Linked DNA regions of Struthio camelus. The protein of the gene in region 2 interacts with the protein of the main gene of each other region in a biochemical or structural test. Links are inferred from orthologs where the notes say so. Each region holds a gene or a part of one and is shown on either strand. Other genes may lie near its edges.

Evidence for each region. The genes of interacting proteins can lie anywhere in the genome.
Region 1: the proteins of INSR (region 2) and TRIM72 form a complex in vitro, tested with the Homo sapiens proteins (2 studies listed by BioGRID). The link is inferred for Struthio camelus from reciprocal best matches to the Homo sapiens genes INSR and TRIM72.

What each region holds. Positions count from the first base shown.
Region 1 is NC_090973.1:292,792-296,530, forward strand, and holds the start of TRIM72 (tripartite motif-containing protein 72), read right to left. Parts: upstream 2,474-3,739; 5' UTR 2,371-2,473; intron 1-2,370. UniProt on the Homo sapiens protein: Muscle-specific E3 ubiquitin-protein ligase that plays a central role in cell membrane repair by nucleating the assembly of the repair machinery at injury sites.
Region 2 is NC_090967.1:5,524,055-5,527,793, forward strand, and holds the start of INSR (insulin receptor), read left to right. Parts: upstream 1-775; 5' UTR 776-846; coding exon 847-925; intron 926-3,739. UniProt on the Homo sapiens protein: Receptor tyrosine kinase which mediates the pleiotropic actions of insulin.

The DNA of each region.
Region 1 (3,739 bases), on a different chromosome or scaffold from region 2:
CCCCTAGACCCCAACACGCTCCCCAGATCCCCATAGGGCACTCCTAGACCCCAACACGCTCCCTATACCCCTATAGGGCACTCCAACACCCCAACACACTCCCTACATCCCCATAGGGCTCCCCTAGACCCCACCACACTCCCCAGATCCCCATAGGGCACCCCTAGACCCCAGCATGCTCTCCAGATCCCTATAGGGCACCCCTAGACCCCAACACGCTCCCTACATCCCCATAGGGCACCCCTAGACCCCAACACGCTCCTTACATCCCCATAGGGCACCCCTAGACCCAACATGCTCCCCAGATCCCTACAGGGCACCCCTAGACCCCAACACGCTCCCTATACCCCTATAGGGCACTCCTAGACCCCAACATGCTCCCCACATCCCCATAGGGCACCCCTAGACCCAACATGCTCCCCAGATCCCTATAGGGCACCCCTAGACCCCAACACGCTCCCTATACCCCTATAGGGCACCCCTAGACCCCAACACGCTCCCTACATCCCCATAGGGCACCCCTAGACCCAACATGCTCCCTATACCCCTATAGGGCACCCCTAGACCCCAACATGCTCCCCACATCCCCATAGGGCACCCCTAGACCCAACATGCTCCCCAGATCCCTATAGGGCACCCCTAGACCCCAACACGCTCCCTATAGCCCTATAGGGCACCCCTAGACCCCACCACGCTCCCTACATCCCCATAGGGCACCCCTAGACCCCAACACGCTCCCCAGATCCCTATAGGGCACCCCTAGACCCCAACATGCTCCCTACATCCCCATAGGGCACCCCTAGACCCCAACACGCTCCCCAGATCCCTATAGGGTGCCCCTAGACCCCAACATGCCCCTGAGATCTCTATAGGGCACCCCTGGACCCCAACACGCCTCCCAGGTGCTATAAGGTCGATGGGGCACCCCTAGACCCCAACATGTACCCCAGATGCTATAGGGTCTACAGCACCCCCTCGCCAGCCAGCACACCCCCTTGTACCCTATAGGGCAGCCCCAGAGCCCACCACGTCCTGTGGATCCTATAGGGTCTCCAGAGCACCCACAGACCCCAGTAGGTTGCCTGGATGCTATAGGGGCTATAGGACCCCCTTGCAAGCCAGCACGGCCCCTTGATCCCCGCAGGGCACCCCACCACCCCACCCGCTCTCTGGGCGCAGTGGGGCACCCCGCATGCCTCTGCAGTCCCTATGGCATCTATAGGGCTCCCCAAGCAGCTAGTCCCTCCCCTCCACTCCCCCTACCCCCCTGGTTGCTATAGGGGCTACACAGCACCGCTATGCACCCCCAGCCCCTATAGGCTCCATACAGCGCTCCATTAAGAGACCAGTTTCCCCAGCAGCGGTGGTGCCTATGAGTCAGCAAAGGGCCCGTACAGCCTCGCCCGGGGCCCTATAGGGTCTGTACAGCCTCACCCTGTGCCCTATAGGGTCTGTACAGCCTCACCCCAGGCACTATAGGGCCTGTACAGCCTCACCCGGGGCCCTATAGGGTCTGTACAGCCTCGCCTGGGGCTCTATAGGGTCTGTACAGTCTCATCCCAGGCACTATAGGGTCTGTACAGCCTCACCCTGCGCCCTATAGGGTCTGTACAGCCTCGCCCCAGGCCCTATAGGGTCTGTACAGCCTTGCCCTGCGCCCTATAGGGTCTGTACAGCCTCACCCCAGGCCCTATAGGGTCTGTACAGCCTTGCCCTGCGCCCTATAGGGTCTGTACAGCCTCGCCCCAGGCCCTATAGGATCTGTACAGTCTCATCCCAGGCACTATAGGGTCCACACAGCCTTGTCCTGGGTACTATAGCATCTATATACCCTTGTCCTGGGCACTATAGGATCCATACAACCTGCTGTCTCATGCCTACAGGGTCTACGCAGCCTCCCCCCCAGGAGCTATAGGGTCTAGAGACCCCCCTCACCTGGCTGCCATAGGGTCTATACAGCCCCCTCAGTGCTATAGGGTCTCCACAACTGCTCTACACTGCCTCAGGGTCTATACAGCCCCCTCCCTGCTATAGGGTCTGCACGGACACCCCATAAACTATAGGGCTGGCACACCCCCCTCTATAAGCACATAGGGGCTTTAGCACCCTCTCGGCCGCTATAGGGTCCGTCGAGCCCCCCCCCAGCGCTATAGGGCCAATACAGCCTCCCCGCAGGTGCTATAGGGGCTACACCCCCCCAGACTCTATATGCCCCCCCTAGCGCTATAGGGCCCCCCCCAGGGATGCTATAGGGTCGATGCATCCTATCCTGGTGCTATAGGGCCCACGTGCCCCCCCCTCCCCCCCGGGATGCTATAGGGGGGCTGGCACACCTATAGGGCGGCTACAGGGCGCCGGGGGGGCTCTCACCGGGGCGTCGGGGCGCGACGGGGTCCCTCGGCGTCTGGCGGCTCCGCGTCGCCGCCGCCGGCTATTTATGGCCTGGGGGGGGGGAGGGCGGCCCGGACGCCTGGGCCCGCTGTGCTCCCCCCCCCCCCCCCCGCCCCGGACGCCTGGGTCCCTCCCTGCAGCGTCCTCTAAGCTTGGGCTTCCCGGACGCCTGGGCCCCTTCCCAAATCTCTGCGGTTCCTGCCAACGCCTCCTCCTTTTTTTTGGGGGGGGGGGGGCAGGGGGGGTCCCGGACGCCTGGGCCCCCCCCTCCTCCTCCTCCTCCCCCCACAGGCCGGATTGGGGTTGGGGTTGGGGGGGGGCGCGGACAGGGATTGACCGCCCGGAGCAGGTGGCACCGGCCCGGACGCCTGGGCCCCTGGTTGGGGAGGGGGGGGGCCGGACGCCTGGGCCCCTGGTTGGGGGGGGGGCCGGACGCCTGGGACCCTGGTTGGGGAGGGGGGGGGCCCGGACGCCTGGGCCCCTGGTTGGGGGGGGGGGCCGGACGCCTGGGACCCTGGTTGGGGAGGGGGGGGGCCGGACGCCTGGGCCCCTGGTTGGGGGGGGGGGGCCGGACGCCTGGGCCCCTGGTTGGGGGGGGGGCCGGACGCCTGGGACCCTGGTTGGGGAGGGGGGGGGCCGGACGCCTGGGCCCCTGGTTGGGGGGGGGGGGCCGGACGCCTGGGCCCCTGGTTGGGGGGGGGGCCGGACGCCTGGGACCCTGGTTGGGGAGGGGGGGGGCCGGACGCCTGGGCCCCTGGTTGGGGGGGGGGCCGGATGCCTGGGCTCCTGGTTGGGGAGGGGGGGGGCCGGACGCCTGGGCCCCTGGTTGGGGAGGGGGGGGCCGGACGCCTGGGCCCCTGGTTGGGGGGGGGGCCGGACGCCTGGGACCCTGGTTGGGGAGGGGGGGGGCCCGGACGCCTGGGCCCCTGGTTGGGGGGGGGGCCGGACGCCTGGGCCCCTGGTTGGGGAGGGGGGGGCCGGACGCCTGGGCTCTCCCTGCACCTGCTCAAGCCAGGCTGGGGGCTGCCCCCCCCCAGCGCCCCCCATAATGCTCCCAGTAACCCCCAGTATCCCCCCAGTAACCTCCAGTGCCCCCCACAACACCCCCAGGACCCCCCATTGTCCCCCAGTGCCCCCACAAGGCGCCCAGTAGACACCAGTGCCCCCCAAAATCTCCCAGTAACTCCCAGTAACCCCCAGTGCCCCCCACCATCCCCCCAGGAACCCCAGTGCCCCTACAAGGCCCCCAGTATCTCCCAGTAGCCCCCCAGTAGCTCCCAAAGCGCCCTCCACCCCCCCAGTAACCCCCAGAAGCCCCCAGTGCCCCTACAATACCCCCAGAGCCCCC
Region 2 (3,739 bases):
CCGTCTGCCGGGGCTCTGCAACGCGAGTCTCCGGGCGAATTCCTCCTTCCCCAAAGGCTGTAATGGGAGAAAGAGGGAAAGCGATGCAAAGCTGCCAGTAAGACGTCAGCGTGTGGGGAGAAGGGCCCCGCTTTCCAGGCGGGCTTCAGGCCAGCAGGGACGGCGAGCTCTTTCAGCAAGCCTCGACTGCCCCACGTTCCCCTCGCTTGATGCCAGCGAGGCCGAAACGTCTCCGCTGGCAGCCGCCGCTCCCAAACGTTTATCCCCGATGCGAGCTGCGGCAGAGGCGTTTCACAGCAGGCCAAAAGACCGCAGCCGCTTGTTGCCTTCGGTTCCCCCCGCAGGCGCCGGGGCCGGAGGCGCCAACGGCCCTGGCCGGAACCGGCTGGAACCGGCCGCCGCCGCCGCCCCTCGCCTCAGGGCCGCCCGCGCGCGGCGGCAGGTGGATGGCGCCGTCCCGTCCCGTCCGCTGCGCGGCTCCGCGCCGCCTCTTGCCGCCGCCCCGCTCCGCTCCGCTCCCAGCTGACGGGGGCAGCCCCTTGTTTACTGGCCGCGGAGGCAGCCGCCAGCCCGGCCTGCGCTGGAGCCGGAGCTGGAGCTGGAGCTGGAGCGGCCGGGGCCGGGGCCGCGGGGCAGGGAGGGGCCCGCCGCCCCGCTTCCTGGGGCCGCCGGCCGGGCGCTATAAAGGCGGCGGCGGTGCTGCGCAGCGCAGCGCGGGGCTCTTCCCGACGATGCGGAGCCGGAGCCGGGCCCGGCCCCCGCGCCCGCCCCGCCGCCTCTGATTCGCCCCTGCCGGGACGCGCCGAGCCGAGCAGCGGCGGCGGCTGCAGCTCCAGCGACGCGGGCATGGGACCGAGAGCGGCGGCGGCGGCGCTGGCCGTGGCCGTGGTGCTGGCGGCCTGCTGCGGCCGGAGCCGGGCGGAGAGTGAGTAGGGGGCGGCGGCGGCGGCGCGGCCTAGGCGGGCGGCGGGGCGCTGCAGGTGGCGCGGCGGGGCGCCGGGCGCCGTGAGGCGGCAGGGAGGGAGGGAGGGAGAGCGGGCGGGCGCCGCGGGCCCGGCCCTGCCGCTTCCCCCCCCCCCCCCCAACCCTTCCCGCCGCCGTTTTACCCTTTGTACCGGCCGGGGAGCGGCCAGGCCGCGCCGCGGGGCCGTGGCGGCCAGCCGGGGCCTGCGGGGCCGCCCGCGGGGGGGGGGGGGGCGCCTCGGGTCACCTTCACCCCTCGGCTTTGCCTTGTGGGCCCCGAGGTGCCGAGCGGGGGGCTGCTCCAGCCCCCTCCCCGGGCTGGCCGTTCTGCCGTGATGTTTGTTACTGCTCCGGCGTGTTCTGGAGGCTCCGGCTGACTCGGGCTTTGAAAGCGCGTCTCGGATGCGGCGCTGGGGGGGATAATGGTGCCGTCTGCGCCCGGGGGGGGGCTGCCCGGAGCGGGGGTCTCGCCCCCCGCCGTGCTCCCCTGCCGCTGCCCCTTTCGGGCTGCTCTCAAAACGAGCTCTCCTCGCAGAAGCCTTTTTAGCGTGCCGAGGCGTCGCCTTAGGAGCTTGTGTCCTTAACCGCACAAATACTCCTAGGTAGGCTTTCAAATCCGCAGGTATTAGAGGGGGCTGGAGCTTGGTGGTAGGGATCTGCGCGCAAGCCAAGTCTCGCGAAGTACAAAACAGGGGTGTAAAAACGCGTGTTGGAGGTGGCAGGCTTGTGAGCTTCGTGGCTGACGTGAGTTGAGACTAGCCTTGTGAGCTGTTCCGATGGGTTCTCTTGAATAAACTTGCCTAAGGAATTGTTCTAGTTGGACGTTTCTCTTTTGAATTTTGGGGGACGTTCACAGAGTTCTTTTTTATTATTGCTAATTTTTTTTTAGTAAAAGGAAAATATTTGTTTAAATAGGACCGGACACTGAAGTTGTCTATCCCATAGCTGCTACCTGGGAGCTTTCCCACTGGCAAAGGCAATAGCAGGCAGGTAGGCTAGAGCCTGGACGTTGCAACGGTGGAGTCTTTTGAGAGGTGTGTAATGGTGAGGGAATAAAGCAGGACCTACCTTTCAGACAGCCTTTCTTCTTCTTCTTTTTGCCAGCGAGCTGGCAAAATTATGCATTTAAAAAATATGCAATTTCTTCTTCATGTATGCCTTCATGTTAGAAGACTTGAAAAAGACCAGTGATAAGTTTTTAACCTAGGAGGTTAAGCTGTAGCTGGCAAGCATGTACAAACCTGCCCATCTCCAGCAGAAAAATGTAAAAGATAATTGGCATATAGCATTGATAATAAATAACTATAAAATAACTTTAGTCCAGTGGCTCTGAATTTGAAAACACTACCACTACTACATTCAGTCTTCTCTTATCCTGTTCTGCTATTTGGGTTGTAAGTATGTTTATGATCATAGCTGCCCAATCTTTGCTGCATTACTGTGTGGTAGGAGAGTATGCTTTACAATTCATCGATGGAGAAACGGGAGCGATGCACAAGATGGCAAAGCCTGTAGCAAAGCCTGGGATGGAGTGTTTTTATATTGTTCATGTAGCGCGAATACTTTTCGAAGTATTTTACAGACTGTTTGGAATGTGAGGTCCCTAATTCAAAAGATTTTCAGCTTCTTGGCTTTCATTTTCTACTCCGTTTTTCTGAGAATGGTTAGACCATACTGGACTACAATGCGGATCGAAAACAGCACGCTAACATGAAGGCCTACATCAGAGTGGCTTGAAGGGTAAACGCATGTACAATAGTTGCATAAGCAAACAAGTTGTTCCCTGAGCAACGGAACTAATGAAGTCTGCTTTCTTGGAGATTTGTGTCCTGCGTTCTGCACAAACATGCACCCTGATAATGCCACTCTCCAGTGACAATATTCCCCTGGTCTCTAACCATAGCATTTCCTGTGCCTTCTTCCTCCCTTTGCTTCTTCGAGACCGTGCTGTAGTTCCCCTCGTGTCCCGTAAGAGGCTGGGCAAAAGCAGCAGGTAGTACAAAAGGTTTTGAGCTGTGCGTGCAGATGGGACAGTAGACAAGCTGGATGGGTGGTTGGAGTTCACCCTTCAAGCTTTTTCTTAATGGAGTTGTTGAATTTTTCCTCCTTTCCCATCCCTAGTTTTCTTGAGTCTTTTAGGAACATGATGTAGGCGAAAACTTTCCTTTCCCGTTAGACTGAAATTAGTTGGTGTGTTCAGAAGCTACTGAGAGGAGCAGGAGCACGGTTAAGAGAATGAGAGCTGACGTGCGTGCAACGTGAAGATGCACATATCTTGCTTTGTGGAGAAAAACGGCTTTTTTGTTTTTTACCGCTGTGTAAACACAATGCAACTTCATGCAATAACTCTCACCTATGACTCATGCATGTCATTCATTAGCTGTGATATTTAGAGTGGGGTTTACCTCACCTAGTTTTAGGCATCTGCCAATCGAGCAAGTTATTTTGGCCTCCTTTTGTAGCTGTAGAGACCTAATCAATATAGTCGGGGGTATTTAGAGGCAATTCCTCCTCTCCTAAACCATTTGCTTACCTTTGGTCGCTGTACTTGTTCTCCGGTGACTATTGATGACAGTGGGAGTTAGGCATTTAGCTGAGATGTAGGTACCTAAATTAGGGACACATTGGGACAAATTCCACTTCTTACTCTTGTGGTAATGTTCTTTTAAAATAATCTACTTCTAAATTATGCTTCCTGTCTCATACTTTTTTTTTTTTTTTGGTGCTCATGAACTCCTTAAGAAACTGTGGCCCTTTTCCCGTCTCAACTAGTTAT